4 linked regions of the Danio rerio genome follow. The protein of the gene in region 1 purifies or fractionates together with the protein of each later gene. This does not show direct contact. Links are inferred from orthologs where the notes say so. Each region holds a gene or a part of one and is shown in the gene's direction. Other genes may lie near its edges.

Region 1 (3,996 bases):
CAGTGTTAAAAATATTAGGACTTACTTTTGGGTGCGTCTAGCTCTATGCTCTGACTTCTCTTGTGAGCAGAACCAGGAACAACAGCTATAAAACATTAAATTAAAAAACATGTTAGAAAGATCAGCACTGGAGTGTTACTACAGGACATTATTATTTTATCACAGTGAAAACGGTAAACATGTAGTGAACATTATGACAGATAATTGCTCAAACCATATAAAGCCATTTCATAGTGTATAATTCTAACATCTTTATTTTAAAAAGCCACGTCTTCATCTTTATGAGCTGTTTTCTTTTGGTTTTGTGATGGTTAGTTTTTGACTTTAGGAAATAGCCGGTTTGGATGAATAAACTCTGACCTCTGCTTTCTCTGCCGGACATGTTGATTCTCTGTTTTTTCTTCAGTCTTCAGTCCATCAACTTTCTATTTGCACCTGATGATTGTCTCTTTATCACCCTGTCATAGATTACACAGATTTTACTTAGCAAGTTATATATTGATTTGTAACTTTTTTATACTCTGTTACCAATGTTAATGTTTGTGTAGTCTATATGAACATCTACTTACACTTTTTTGCCCTGAACATATGCGGTAAACAGCGCTCTTGTATAGTGATTAAATCAAATAGGCCTATTTATAACAAAGTGAACATGTTTAATGAAAGGAGGACAACAAAGTTCAACAGCTGTAAAAGTTTTACATTTACATTTCTTTAAAACAAGCTGACACTGCACATTCAGATATAGGTTATAGAATAGGCCTAGGCTACATTCAATTTTTGTTTTTGTTATCAAACACACCTGAAAGTAAAACCAACCAAATCTAAGGCTTGATTGCAACTACACACTGAATACATCCAAAATAAACAATTTCTTCCAAACATCGCAGTTACATCTATACATTTGCATATTTTACAAATTGATTATTTAAAACAAATGTTTACCGTGTCGAAGATAGTCTTTTCCTTCTTGAAAACTGGAAAAACCTGTATTTTGGGAGGAGTTTTGTGAAGTCACAAGACACTCTTCACCTCTTTTTTCTTCTATTTCAATGGCGGGTAACACCAACGCCGTCGCTTAAAGAGGGAAGTGGGGGGGAATGATTAGTCTGTAAACCTAACCTCTAGTCCACAGTGCAGAGCTGAAGGTGGCGGTAATGCACCAAAACGCTGGATGTCAACCGCCGTAAAATTATAAGAAGAAGAAGAAGAAGAAGAACGCCGTCGCTTTGGTCATATACTAGGTGTAGGAGTGTGAACCAGATCAAGTTCGCATTCCCAAATAAGTAGACATAGTAGCCTATATTTTATAGTCTCGTTCAGTTCTGTTGTCTTTTTATCTTCATATGTTTGTCTTGTTAGACATTTAAATGTAAAAATATGTCAATTTGATGCTAGAACAGGGTAAAGTCTAGATAGGATTCAGCTGCGGATATGCACATCAATATCTGTGATAAGAACAATTAATATTTTTACAGTACTGTGACGGTTGGGGGGTATACGTAAAATACATTTTATTAAGTAATTTAATAAATAGCAAAGTACAGCTACTCTGTTTGCTGTTACGGCTAGAACAGGACAATATTAGATATGGGGATTTATTTGAAAATTTATAACCAAAAGTTTTACAGCGTTGAAACGTCTTTTTAGCATCCCGTCTTTGTTTTATAAACCATCACACATTTCCTACATTGTCTTGTTAAGAAATGTAAAGTGATTGTATTGTATAAGAAAACTGTACATGCTGGTTCTTGTTAATAAAAAAATAATAAATAAATAAAAACATTTCCTACATTGTGTCTTTTTTTACTGCTTTACGATTTGCGTGTTTGCGGAACGTCAGTGCTGTGGATCGTGTTTCTGCACGGACAGTGACGCTGCGGCAACACCGGAAAATCCTTCCACGCTTGGAGTCGCGCTGCGGTAAACTAGCTGTGAGATTCCAGACATAACATTTTTCTTAAAAAATTACCTATTAAACCGGGGTAGGAGACGCAGAACACTAATAATGTCGGATAACGAGGACAAGTGAGTTTCAAACGCGTGTGTTGCGCTCAATGTTTTACTGTTTTCGAACGTTTAAAGTGTGTGAATGTGGAAAACAACAACATGCGATCATTTCCATACTGCGACACAACATATATAACGATGAATGTGACTTACACAGACCTGACAGCTGAGTCTTATTTACCCGATATAGCGAAGACTTGATTTGTGATTTATTGTCGATGACGTGTTTGTTTATCTCAGAGTTTGTTTGTTTGTTTGTTTAGTTTTGATGACGGAGATTTCGATGATGTTGAAGATGAAGAGCCTCTGGATGATCTGGAGAATGTGGAAGATGTAAGATCACACTTTCAGAGAAATACTTGCTTATATTCTGCCTGGTAATCATTGAGAAATGGAGTATTATAGTCAAAGATTTCTCTTATTTCCACATGAGAAATACCACAGAGTTACAGTTTAATAATTTGAGCCACACTGTAGTATTTTGCTGTATATATTATAGTATTTTTCAACTGGTTATTAATGAATGCTGCAACATACTGTAATATTAACTATAGTGAACTGAGAATAACTGTAGTATACAATAGATTTCTACAACTATGGAGTATATTATACTTCAATACACTACAATTTACTGTAGTAAAAACACAAGTATTGGCTTATTTGTTTATATTACTAAAGTACAATACATTCATTCATTCTCTGTTCGGCTTAGTCTCTTTATTATTCTGCGGAATGAACCGCTAACTTATCCAGCATATGTTTTACACAGCATATGTGTATGGGAAACACCCACACAAACTCATACACTGTGGCCAGTTTAGTTGATCAATTCCCCTATAGTGCATGTGTTTGGAGGAAACCCACGCCAACATGGGAGAACATGCAAACTCCACACAGAGATGCCAACTGACCCAGCCGGGACTCGAACCAGCAACTTTCTTTCTGTGAGGCGCTTGTGCTACCCACAGCGCCACCGTGATGCCAATATAGTAGAATGATATAGTAGAATCACCACAACAGATCAAATCAAGTACTCCACTATAGTATAGTGTTTGTGTATGCGTGTTTTGTGCTTGCTCATGTGTGTGTTGTGCATGCTTTTGTGTTTGTATTTTGTCCTAGCATTTGTGTACATTATGCATATTTGTGTGGGTGTGTGCATGCTTGTGTGTTTTGAGCATGCATTTGTTTCTGTGTTGTGTATGTATATATGTGTGTGTGTGTGTGTTTTGTTTAATTGTGTGTATCGTGTATGTGTTTGTGTGTGTTTTGTGTTTATTTTTGTCCAATGTTTTGTATGTGTGTGTGTGTGTGTGTGTGTGTGTGTGTGTGTGTGTGTGTAGGAGGACCAAGAGAATGTTCAGATCCTGCCGGCAGGTGAAGGACAGCAGGCCAATCAGAAGAGAATCACCACCCAATACATGACCAAATACGAGAGAGCGCGAGTGCTGGGAACACGAGCTCTGCAGATTGCGTGAGTGACCGATCCACAATCACCACTCAACACACACACACACACTGCCAAATACACAACATTACCAAACATGGAGATGCACACTGCAATGCCTCAATCTCTGAATCATCTCGCAGCATTAATCTGAACGCTCATACTCTGTTCATGTGTCCTTTTCTCTGTCCTCTGTTTAACTGTGGATTGAAGCACTGCTTTGGTTTCGCCTAACTTGCTGATCTTGGTGTCTGATATTGTGAGGTTTTATTTTTCTGTGATAAATATTGTGATAATACAGTTTCACTAGAGAGTTTGATTGGCTCTGTTTGACTGATTTCTGTGGAGAAACAAATGCTTTTCTTACTTTGCTTTCTCTCGTTTCTAGTCCAAATATCTAAAAATTCTTAAGAAAATATTTTGTTTTCAACTTTCCATGAACTTACTTTTGAAATTTTTCCCTAAAACAATCAAAATGATCTGCCTCTTATCCGTTTGATTAGCATTCATTTCAAGAGGAGCATTAAAGTGCAAAACCC
Region 2 (4,047 bases), on another chromosome or scaffold:
TAACCGAGCAACAGATCAATTAATTGGTCAACGAAGAGGGAGGGGTGGTATATTTTTTATTCAATAAAATAAAATTTGAATAATTGTATAATTCAAATTAAATAATTCATATTGGTAGAAGTACACAATGTTGTCACAACATTGTGATTAATAACTGGCAATGTCACAGTTTTATTGTTGCAACGTTTCAGTTGTCACAATGTAATTAGTTACATTGTCACAATAAAACTGTTGCACTTACATTACTACCACGTATTTACTCCACCAGCATCACGTTGTGACCTGTTCACCTTTTTTTGCAGAAAAAATGGCTCAAAATCCTGTGCAAGACTTGTATCTGTCATTTTCCAGATAAATTGATGCTGTATTGACCACAAAAGAATGACCTACATCATGAATTACTGTGGTCTAAAACCAGGCGTTTCAGTTTCATTGTCCAACCCCTGTAAATAAAAAAAAAACTGATAAAAAAAAAAAATAATAAATGTCTGTGTGTGTGTGTGTGTGTGTGTGTGTGTATATGTATATATATATATATATATATATATATATATATATATATATATATATATATATATATATATATATATATATATATATATATGAAGTCTCCACTTCACTTCCTAATCTGCAATTGCCTCTCTGGATATCACACTAACTGTACCCCAAAAAAAAAAAAATACTAATACTTTCCTTCTTAGACTTTACAGACCTGAAACTTGCCTATAGCACTTATTCATTGTTGCTCTTATAGTTGTGTAAGTTGCTTCCTTGTCCTCATTTGTAAGTCGCTTTGGATAAAAGCGTCTGCTAAATGACTAAATGTAAATGTAATATATACACCATAGTGTTTGTGTGTGTGTATGTTATCAGTCGCATTGAAAAATATACAATCAAAAGTTATTATGAGAATAAAACCCACAAATAACCTGAAGGGAACATCATGGGAAGGTTCTCTTTAGTTTATGAAAATAAGACCCACAAATAATCTCCAGAAAATGTAATATAATAATAAATAATAAGGGAACGTTCTGGGAAGATTTTGGTTAGGTTTTGGTTGCCAAAAAAAACTACAGATAACGTTCCCCGAAAAATAACCAAACGGGATGTTCCATATGGGAAAGTAAGAATGTTATCTGCTACACTACAGCAAAGAGCATCTAAGCTCTTTGGGTACAGCCTATTGCCAGGTGGCGATATATAGACAAAATGCATTGTGGAAAAAGCGAAGAAGAAGATCACGTGACGTCATTTCAGTTTCTCGATCCAGTAGTCTGTTGTTAGGCATTTTCGCCTGGTTATTGCGCTTTGTTCGCGGTCTATTTTAACGAGGGCTGATTTTATTGTGACCGCGTCTTAGTATAATGTTTTAGCTCTTTCTGCTTTACCGTTGTCGGGTCACTGTTGGATGCAAATTCGGAAGATGGCGGCGGTGCAAAGCAGCAGTCCGGTCGCAGACTCGTCCCAGGGAGGCACAGCCGCGGGCTCCGAGCGTCCCCGAGCCGAGGATGGATCTGGTAACGTTACAAGCACATACTTCCTGTTTACTTAAAGTTTATTTGTGTCAGCTAGAATCTACAAAATGCTTTAATTATTTTTTAGAAATGACCCATAGATTTCCCTTTTACGGATTGTGCACGATTTCCGAGTCGTCCGTCAGATATCTCGAGTGTTTTTGGGATGTTTTGGCGAAGGTTAGCATCAATGTTGAAAAGTAAATATTTATTGTAACGTTACATTAATTAAATTTCTCATAATCAGAAAAAATAAAGGGATTGCTGTTCATTTTTGGTTATTTAGTTAGAATGAATAAAGGGTGGTTGGGACTTTTTTAAATTTCTACCATGCTTTTTTGCCATGACTTAAAAATATCAGCCCAATACATGATACATTTATGTAATACTTACTTACTTGCCTGTCCGTTTATGGAGGAAAGGAAACATAGTTATTTGTTAAGAATAGGAGGAGTGCTATAGTCTTTATTATAAACTAAGCCAAAACCGAAAGTTTTGGTGATTAAGACAAAAATCTATTTATTAAGGCTGGTGTCTGTTAATGCGTGTTAAGCATGATGCAGTTTATTAAATATTAGCCTACATATGAATTTTATTTATTTATTATAAAACAGAAAATGTGTTATTTCTTAATGCAAAAATGCATGCAAACATTAGTCTGTTATTAGACAATGTTGTCAATAATGAAATGTCATCGTTAATGGCATTTGGTGATCATCAGATATTATTGCTTGTCATTAGGTACCAATTGACGGATGTCCGTAATTGGGAAGAGCTCTGAAAGCTTTACTTGAGGTCAGGAAGCGCATGAAATGCCAAATTTAGGTAGGCTACAGAATTCTGACCTCAACCGGGACATTGGGAAGCTGCAAGCAGGCCTGAGGCAGACACAGGAGTTGTAGAGCCAGTGAGAACATATCAAAGTGTAATTTTCAGAGCTTGGAACATGTTCAGAAGGATTGGTGGAGTGAGTAGAATGCATGGTGGAGGCAGACAATGGGTAACAACACCAAATTATAACCAATACCTTTCCCTGCGAGGGAATCAGTCTGCAATCAGTCTGCAAAATGACCTACAGCAGGGGTCTGTAACATTTTTTCAGCAAGGAGCCATTGTTTGTTTTTTATTTATCAAATACATTTTTTAAAGAGCAATTGGGGGTGTGTGTATATAACAACATCTTTACTTATTTAAGGACAATTTATAGAATGAAAAAAAAATCAGTATGCCATTGCCACTTGTGAATGAATTGGTGTTGCGATTCAAGTTAAGCCACAGCACCACACATGCTCATTAGAAACATCCTTTTATTGTAACCTGAGTTCTTATTTTGCTTTAAAAAATACAGTATAAAGGGAATTATAATTGTATTTTCAATATGAAACTGGTTTCTAATAACAGTTATGATTTTTAAACTTTAAAATATTATTGAAAGAAGACAGCTGGAGAAAGCTACATATTTTTGGTCAAAAAGCCACATGTGGCTCCTGACCCATAGGTTCCCTACCCCTGACCTACAGGATGCAACAGGAGTGTTAGTATCCAACCAGACAAGCCCAAGGTATAGGAATGAAATTCTGAGGCCAGTTGTCAAACTTTATTCTGGTGCAATGTGGCCGGATTTTGTTTTTATGGATGACAATGCCCTCCACGTTGAGCAGTGTTAGTGATGGAATACTTGGAGGAGCCATCCTTTAACAGATTATTCAAAACATATGAGAGGTGGTAACACTGATTACTGACTAGTTGTTCAGTTCTTGTACATGACTTGTTTGTCATATTTGCAAACATGCAATTTATGTTTGTTTGACAGTATGAAGTCAAATTTTGTTCTGCTGTAACAAGTATTTACATCTCAAATACATAAATTGAAAAGTTTTCTTTTCTGTTTTGGAGCTTTGCTAGTTTAAGCTCTGACGTTTCATGCAAAGCTACTACGGTACGGGATCCAGGAGGGATGCAACGGTTCTCTTTAAAAAATCGTACCGTCCTGTTGTCCTCCCATGGTTCAGTGCGCCCTGTGATCTGCAGTTCAGAATATGCATTTTTAATATTAGTTTAGTGTTTAAAAACAACTGCAACAAAACAAAAAAAAATCTGCCTTTACCTATGACATGCGCTGGACATGGGAGGACATGTCTCAATCACCTCTTAAAAATCTGTAAGTCTGTTGTTGACATTACGTCTTCTGACGTGTCTGTGTGTTTGAGTTTCTGAGAGTTCAGCAAAAGTGCAGGTGAGACCAAAACACAGCACATTGCTGTCAGTGTTTCAATAGACACTCAATGTAAATTCAGACAGATAATAATAACAAATGCTTAATCTTTTTGTTTATTTTTTGTTGATCACTAAAGGGCTTATCGAGGTCTGTCTCCAGACCCAGAAGTGTCCCGTACAGACCCAGACATACAGCAGGCCTGTTACTTCAGCTGAGTGTTTAGCATCCGATCGCTCCTGCTATTTATTAATTTGTTTACCCGCTGTCTGCTAAGAAAAGTTTACTTTTCAATTAACTGTTTTCTGCTAAAAAAAT
Region 3 (3,973 bases), about 44 Mb from region 1:
GAATATTATCAAGCTACGAGAATACATCTGTGTGCACATAAAACAAAAATAACTACTTTACTCAACAGTTTCTTCTCCTCAGTGTATTGCATGTGTTCACGAGTGGTGTGCACTTATGTACTGACTATGACTTCCTTAGTTTGAAACAATTCACAGACACATTTGAGGTAATAAGCAAGTCAGAGGTGCAACCAAACGCGGCACATAAATGTGAGCATTATACTGACACAGAGGAGAAGAAACTGTTGAAAAAAAATCTGTAGAATATAGAAGATTTTAAGCTGGAACTATTACCCTCTAGTATTTACAACTACATTATCAGCTATTCACAACCTGGACAAACAGCTCTGAGGAAGATTTTAAATATATTAAACTCAAAGTGATGGCGCTTCTTGACCACCATTATATAGATAACGTACATAGGAAAACATAGTTCTCAACTTAAAAAAAAAACGTATTTTCTGTTCTACTTAAGAACAGAATCTTGGGATGTCAATTAACCGAACATTTTAATATCTGGGTGAATTGTCCGTTTAAAACAGCCCCTTGACTGCATGTACACCTGAATGGGCAGGTCACACAGAAGCGGGTCCTGCACTATGAGAGCCAGCCCTTCTTCAAAGATGTCCAGAATTTCTGAGTGTGGAAGAGCCTCCTCGTCTTCTTCCTCTTCGTGCTCCTCTTTTATTTCATCTTCCACAGTTTTCTCCTCTAACTCTTTTTTGAGCTCGGTTTCGTCCTTTATTTCGTCCATTTTATCTTCAAACGTCTTGTTTTGAGGGTATAGAAATCCAAGACTTATAAAAAAGTCACTAAGCGTTAATAGTTAACATAACTACAATTTCGTAAAAAAACTGTACGCCTTTTGCAGAAGCTTATTGTATTAAAAATTGTAACTTTAACAATTTGAGCCGTTCCAGCATTTCTTTTTACATTTCATTTTTATAAACACGCTGTCGGAATATTTCAGTGATGCACCCGACTTTAGTTCCGCATAGGTTTTTTATGATTCACATTCTTTATTACAATAACAATCTTCTATTAAAATATTTTTTAATCAGCATTAATATATTCGTTGACATTTTCATATATATTTAAGTTTAATATATACAACAGAAACAGTGTTCATCCTTGTCTATATTTCGTTTTATGGCGAGCCAATAATACAGAGGCACATTGATTGTCATGTGCTTCCTGTAGCGACTTAGAAAGGACTGTGTGTAAATACCAACTTCAGTTGCATCAGAAAGAAACTATAACTGTATTTACTACGTAACATAATCTATGACTGTTTGAAAATGCTCCTGTTTTGTCCGACATGTGGGAATGTGTTAATCGTGGAAGAAGGACAGCGATGCTTTAGATTCGCGTGTAACACATGTCCATATGTGCACAACATCACGAGGAAGGTAATGCATAACACCGGTTATGGAAATTTGTATCTAATAAGCGTTTGGAACGTTTGATTCGAACGCATTAAAGTTCGACGGAACGCCGACATTTAAAAGTTCGATTCGAATGAAACGAAAGAAATGACTTGATTCGATAATATGAGAACGTGTGAGGAACATCTGATGAGATCAATGTTTCTAACATTACAAATTATATAACAAAAATAGATTTGAGTGAGGGAGTGTTTATGTTCTATCAAACATTGCTTTCAGAGCATGATAAATAACGCTGGGTTACTGAGTAGTTACTTAAATGAAATGGTTAAATGATTATAAGATTGTATTGTACTTTAAAATGCTCTTTATTTCATCACGTTATTATATTTATGTATAAAATTTACAGTTTTAGAATAAATTCTCATTAAAAGATATTTTGAATAATGCTGGCACCCATTTTCTACCATAGTAGGAAATAAGAGTTGATTGAAGTCAATGGATCCCAGCAACATTCTTCAAAATATCTTCTTTTGTTTAACAGAAGATATAAACTTACTCAATGTACTTAATAAACCAAGAACTTCGTTTATATTATCTTGAAAACGTAGGAATTAAAAATATTTTAGAAATTTTTTAGAAATATTGTTATAGCTTCAGGTGGATAAACATCTGGATACTTAAAAGTTTATATTTGATGTCACTTCATAGATACTTATGTATGTGTGTCTTATCATCAAATGTTCATTCATAAATTGCACATACTTCTGAATTAAATCAGCCACAGTGCCACACGCAGGTTAACATTTTACCACCACTCTTTACTTCTCTTGTGTCTATGAACTCCGTAACATTACAAAACTTCCCATCATGCCACCTGTTTCCCGTCTTAAAGACACAGATGCAATTATAGCACATGACAATACTAACTTCAGAATCATAACACAAAACCTGGATAAATAAATCACCTCTATAAACTACTGACATTGTTTTTAAAAGATAGCTCTTAAAAACTCATTTTTGCATCCCCCAAAATGCTGTTGTGCAAACAAATGGCCAAAACACATACAAGTTTTCAATGCTTAGTTGGTCTGTAAATGTAATTGGCTGTTAAGTGAAAAAGTCAATTTCAAACTCTGATTAGAATTCAAAATGACGCTGTTTTAGACACTGGTAACAACTGTATTTATACAGTGACATATTAAAGAAGAGCCACTTGTCATAGTATTTTTGCTATTTATGTCATTGATAGTTTTTTTCAACATTCCGCATATATATTCTTTAAAGTCTGTGTGAAATCCAAATTTACAGTGTTTATTTTACAAGCACACAATGCTATTCTTTAGGTAAATGATAAATCCATGCAAGCTAATTCACCGAAAAAAAAAATCTTTGTTCTGATAATCTTCAAAGTCTGACCATTTGCTCTGGCGTTTGGAGTGGCAGTCCTTCTCTGATGATGTCAGTTTGGCAGATGCATCCACAATATTCCTAACCACGCCCCTCTTACCTTTAGTTGATGAGGGAATGATGTGCAAAAAGAAAGCCCCGCCCCCTACTCAATATGCAGTTTCAGTTTGAGGTCCTTCAACATACTAAAATAAGTCTCAGCAACTTGCAGTAAAATTAAAAACACTTATAAATCACCTTGAACCATCCTTGTTTTTATTAGTATCTAACAATTGAAGCTTGTTTCTATGAGGGTTAGGTTTATGGTCAGGCATAGACAGTATCATTGACCTGATAAAAAAATAGGAAAACAAACCTGTTTATGTGCTTTAACAGGTAAACAACAGAAAGTACCCCAAACTGAAGGAGGTTGATGATGTTCTTGGAGGATCTGCTGCTTGGGAAAATGTGGATTCCACTGCAGGTAAACAAATGAAACTTGAAAAGTAAAGTTTGCTCACAAACTTATGGTGGATTGACTGAGACTAGTCTGAAAGTTTGAAGTAGTTTTAAAGTTTAATTAATTGAAATAGTTTTTAAGAATTTTGAAACAGTCGGCATAGATTGATAACTACATATAGGTCAGCATGTATCTAGTATGGATTGGTATGTTTTAGTATAGATTGGTATATGGTTAGTATGTTTCTAGTGTGGATTAGATTATTATAGTATGTTTCTAGTCTGGATTGGTATATTATTAGTATGTTTGTTAGTATGTTTCTAGTATGGATTTGTGTGTCCTTAGTATGTTTCTAGTGTGGTTTATGTCTCTAGTATAGATTGGTATATTGTTAGTATGTTTTAGTGTGGGTTAGTATATTTTTAGTATGTTTTAGTATGGATTGGTGTGTCCGTTAGTATGTTTCTAGTATAGATTGGTATATTGTTTGTATGTTTCTAGTATGGATTAGTATATTTTTATTATGTTTTATGGTATGAATTGGTGTGGCCTTGGTTTGTTTTTTAATGTGGTTTATTATGTTTCTAGTATGGATTGGTATATTTGGAGTATGTTATGTTTTTCTTCCATGGATTGGTATATTATTACTATGTTTCAAATGTGGATTAATATATTTTTAGTATGTTTGTTAGTATGTATCTAGTATGGATTGGTGTGTCCTTTAGTGTGTTTCTAGTGT
Region 4 (4,269 bases), on another chromosome or scaffold:
TTTAACGAAAAGAAGATTTGTTCAACACATTTCTAAGCATAATAGTTTTTTAATAAACATTAACTCATTTCTAATAAGTGATTTATTTTATCTTTGCCATGATGACAGTATATAATATTTGACTAGATATTTTTCAAGACACTTCTATACAGCTTAAAGTGACATTTAAAGGCATAACTAGGTTAATTAGTTTAACTAGGCAGGTTAGGGTAATAAGGCAAGTTATTGTATAACAGTGGTTTGTTCTGTAATCCAAGGGTTCCCAAACTTTTCAGCCCATGACACCCAAAACGACAATGCCAGTGACTCGCGACTCCCAACATCCTCTGAGGTGGTTATAAGTACAGAAACCCATGTCTATTCTTTGTGGAATTAATGTATGTCAGTGCTGTTAATGTGCCAGAAAGTTTAACCTGGTGTTATAAAATCAGTCTGTTACATCTGACGCTATTGCTGTCTTTAACATAATGTAATTACCCCAGGGGTCGCAATCCAATAGAACTAGTAACTAGAAGCTACTATAGTAACTCAATACAGCAGTATATAGTGTATAAAGATGTTAAAATGTTAAATCACTATAAAGATGATTTAGATTTTTCTCTTCAGTAGGTTATGGATAAAATATGGTAATTCTTATGGTTTAATAAAAATAACTCGATTTTTGGAAATAACTAGGCGACCCCCCCCCCCTTCATTGTCGCGCGTCCCCCACTTTGAGAACCCCTGTAGACTATCAAAAAAAAAAAAAAAAAAAAAGCTTAAAAGGGCTAATAATTTTGACCCTAAAAATTTTCATTGAAAAATTCAAAACTGCTTTTATTTTAGCCAAAATAAAACAATTAAGTCTTTCTCCAGAAGAAAAAATATTATCAGACATACTGTGAAAATTTCCTTGCCCTGTTAAACATCATTTGGGAAATATTTTAAAAAGAAAAAAGAATTCTAAGGGGGGCTAATAACAATACCTCAACTGTAAACACACACACACACACACACACACGCATGCACGCGCACACACACGCACTGTGTCTGTGAGTATTATACAATAAAGCCATGAATTACAGAAATATCTATACTGTATGTACACGGACAAATATGTTTCACATATGTAATAAAGTGTTGTAACTTAGTTATAGGCTACATAAACAGTAGTTTTAATAAATAATAGCCAACATTTAAAACAGATCAAAAATGTTTATCAAAATTTGTCCTAAGTTAAAAATGTGTGTTGTTGAATAGTTTTGGAACAACTTTGATAAAGGTTTTGATCCACTTCAAATGTTGACTACAGTATAATAATCTTTAGCATGTGCATCAGCATCTCTGTGAGCAATATGCAAAACATGTAATGAATCCTTACATATTTTGTAATGATTTGTTTGTTTAGCATGATTCACTTTGAGTAGCACTGGTTAACGTTAACTGACGCGAAACGCGGAACCATAAAAGACCGCGCTCATGTTTCTGGCAGGAGTGTTTTCAGAAGCGGGCAAAAACAAACGGGCAGATGTTTGGCGGGTGATTTTATTGCTCAATTTTACATCAATAAAACCTGAAATTACATTAAAAACAACCACGTTTACTGACGGATTAACCAATAAAACCTTTGCACAATGAAACGAAGTTGAAAATAAAGAGGGATTTCGCCGCATTGAGTGAAAGAGGTGTGTTTATATGCTACAGTTCGGTCAAAACAAATAAAACGTTACATTGAAAATAAAACATTTACCAAAAGTACATTTATGTAAAAATAAATATTTTAACATGTTTGGCCTAAATGTGTCTTTTCTAGCCGAATTTAGTTGTTTGATAATGAGTAAACTTATACTGTGAATAACGGATAAACGAGTTAAATAAAGAGGATGTATGATTAATAAATGTGAAATATTTTGTCTCAGATGATGGCAGGAAGGGGCAGAGGGCAGCTCACTTTCTCTGTGGAGATAGTTGGGATCGGTAAAGGTGAAAATCTCCCTCCGTCCTGCATCCAGCCGACACCTCTGTTCCCCGTGAGTCTTCAAGACACAACAATAAAGCCTCGTTTATAAACTGTTATACGCTTGTTATACACTGCTATTATCAAGATATGAGTCAGATTCTGCATTTCATGAGCATAAACGCAGTGCTTTAATAGTTTAATGTGGATGGCGTCACGAGCTACACAGAAATTGCATTGAAAAAACGGTCCTGTTCAACATTCAGCAAACATTACATTTTAAAAGTGTCTAATATCACAACAACATATTTGTTTAAATATTTGTTTTAGAATTCAAATTGTTTTATTGTTGAACACATCATCACAGTATTCCACCTTATTTACCTTAACAGTTACATAATAAGCCACTTACACTCACCGGCCACTTTATTAGGTACACCTTACTAGTTTTGGGTTGGACCACTTTTGTCTTCAGAACTGCCTTAATCATTCGTGGCATAGATTCAAAAAGATACTGGAAATATTCCTCAGAGATTTTGGTCCATATTGACATGATATCATCAAGCAGTTTGCCCGCTAAACATCCATGATGTGAATCTCCTTTTCCACCACATCCCAAAGATGCTCTATTGGATTGTGATCTGGTGAATATTGTGGCCATTTGAGTACAGTGAACTCATTGTGATGTTAAAAAAAAAAGTCTGAGATGATTTGTGCTTTCTGACATGGCGCGTTATCCTGCTGGAAGTAAGAGTAGAAATCAGAATTATCAGCCCCCCTTTGAATTTTTTTGTTCTTTTTTATATTTTTTAAATGATGTTTAACAGGGCAAGGACATGTTCACAGTATGTCTGATAATATTGTTTCTTCTGGAAAATTAAAGCAGTTATTAATTGTTAAATACCATTTTAAGGTCAAAATTATTAGCCCCTTTAAGCAATTTTTTTTCCGATAGTCTACAAGCCATCATTATACAATAACTTGCCTAATTACCCTAACCTGCCTAGTTAACCTAATTTACCTAGTTAAGCCGTTAACTGTCACTTTAAGCTGTATAGAAGTGTCTTGAAAAATATCTAGTCAAATATTATGTGCATCATGGCAAAGATAAAATAAATCAGTTATTAGAGATGAGGTATTAAAACTATTATGTTTAGAAATGTGCTGAAAAAAATATCTTTCTGTTAAACAGAAATTGGGGAAAAAAATAAAAAAGGGGCTAATAATTCTGACTTCAACTGTATGTTTTTTTTATTTCAATTAACATTTTTATTACAGTAAAGAAAATAATTTTATTGCCATTTTAAGTGTCTGTAGATGTCTCTGCCATAAAGACAGTACATAATATTTGACTAGATATTTTTCAAAATACTAGTATTCAGCTTAAAGTGACATTTAAAGGCTTAACTACAGTAGGTTGATTGGGGTTTATTAGACAAATCATTGTATAACAATGTTTTTTTTCTGTAGCCAATCGAAGAAGAAAAATTTTCTTAATGGGGCTAATAATATTGACCTTTAAATGGATTTTATTCTAGCCGAAATAAAACAAATACGACTTTCTCCGGAAGAAAAAATGTTATCAGACATACTGTGAAAATTTTCTTGCTCTGTTGAACATTATTTAGGAAATATTTTAAAAAAGAAAAAAATCATTCTGACTTTAGCTGTATGCCCTATTAAAAGCTGATTTCTGTCTTGGCATGTGTAAATGAGTGACAGCAGGTGTTTGTGTGAGCAGCAGACAGATGTGAATGTGCTGTTTGATGTGTTCAGCCTCTGGATCAGAAGCCAGTGCCCCTGCAGGCAGGTGAGGAGGCCGAGTACATGCTGGCCCTCAAACAGGAGTTTAGGGGAGCCATGAAGACGCTCCCGTTTTACATCCGTCCAGCGGCTCCCAAGAAAGGTCAGTTCAGAGCCCAGGACTAGCTCTTTACTGACATCTTTAAAGGGCTTATATTATGCTCATTGTATCATGTCATTTTTTTTTCGAAATTACATAACATGCGATTTCTACACTTTGGCACATATGCAATCCTTTTTTTCTAATCCTGAGTCTTAATGCAATTATTGTAAATAACATTTAAAGGTGCAAATGTTTAAAGGTATGTAATTTGACACCCAGTGGTTGAACTAGGAATTACATTCCAGAATCAAAACATATGCAAGTGCAGGTTGCCAGATGACCAAGAGGAGCGAGTCTCAAGCCTAATGTAAACCGTGTTCAGTATAAAAGCAACGGCACGTGATAGAACAAATATTTTCCATATTAAAAGGAGTTTTTGTCCTAACCAACACCTCGAATTGATATGTTAGAAACGGCTTTTATTTCA

What was found. Proteins that work in one complex are often made in the same cells at the same time.
Region 2: the proteins of polr2f (region 1) and med1 purify together in Homo sapiens (affinity purification with mass spectrometry; 3 studies listed by BioGRID and IntAct, with this or other methods). This does not show direct contact. The link is inferred for Danio rerio from reciprocal best matches to the Homo sapiens genes POLR2F and MED1.
Region 3: the proteins of polr2f (region 1) and polr3k purify together in Homo sapiens (affinity purification with mass spectrometry; 5 studies listed by BioGRID and IntAct, with this or other methods). This does not show direct contact. The link is inferred for Danio rerio from reciprocal best matches to the Homo sapiens genes POLR2F and POLR3K.
Region 4: the proteins of polr2f (region 1) and polr3glb purify together in Homo sapiens (affinity purification with mass spectrometry; 3 studies listed by BioGRID and IntAct, with this or other methods). This does not show direct contact. The link is inferred for Danio rerio from reciprocal best matches to the Homo sapiens genes POLR2F and POLR3GL.

Annotation. Positions count from the first base shown.
Region 1 is NC_133178.1:1,278,189-1,282,184, reverse strand, and holds the start of polr2f (DNA-directed RNA polymerases I, II, and III subunit RPABC2), read left to right. Parts: upstream 1-1,196; 5' UTR 1,197-1,219; intron 1,220-1,876; 5' UTR 1,877-2,008; coding exon 2,009-2,028; intron 2,029-2,273; coding exon 2,274-2,343; intron 2,344-3,353; coding exon 3,354-3,484; intron 3,485-3,996. Other genes in the region: uncharacterized protein, read right to left, coding at 26-85, 361-382. UniProt on the Homo sapiens protein: DNA-dependent RNA polymerase catalyzes the transcription of DNA into RNA using the four ribonucleoside triphosphates as substrates.
Region 2 is NC_133187.1:16,852,439-16,856,485, forward strand, and holds the start of med1 (mediator of RNA polymerase II transcription subunit 1), read left to right. Parts: upstream 1-1,247; 5' UTR 1,248-1,408; coding exon 1,409-1,517; intron 1,518-4,047. UniProt on the Homo sapiens protein: Component of the Mediator complex, a coactivator involved in the regulated transcription of nearly all RNA polymerase II-dependent genes.
Region 3 is NC_133178.1:45,547,119-45,551,091, forward strand, and holds the start of polr3k (DNA-directed RNA polymerase III subunit RPC10), read left to right. Parts: upstream 1-1,173; 5' UTR 1,174-1,298; coding exon 1,299-1,409; intron 1,410-3,170; coding exon 3,171-3,258; intron 3,259-3,973. Other genes in the region: snrnp25 (U11/U12 small nuclear ribonucleoprotein 25 kDa protein), read right to left, coding at 563-754. UniProt on the Homo sapiens protein: Core component of RNA polymerase III (Pol III) which synthesizes small non-coding RNAs using the four ribonucleoside triphosphates as substrates. Can mediate Pol I proofreading of the nascent RNA transcript.
Region 4 is NC_133191.1:47,264,638-47,268,906, forward strand, and holds the start of polr3glb (DNA-directed RNA polymerase III subunit RPC7-like), read left to right. Parts: upstream 1-1,469; 5' UTR 1,470-1,664; intron 1,665-1,898; 5' UTR 1,899-1,901; coding exon 1,902-2,009; intron 2,010-3,712; coding exon 3,713-3,842; intron 3,843-4,269. UniProt on the Homo sapiens protein: DNA-dependent RNA polymerase catalyzes the transcription of DNA into RNA using the four ribonucleoside triphosphates as substrates. Specific peripheric component of RNA polymerase III which synthesizes small RNAs, such as 5S rRNA and tRNAs.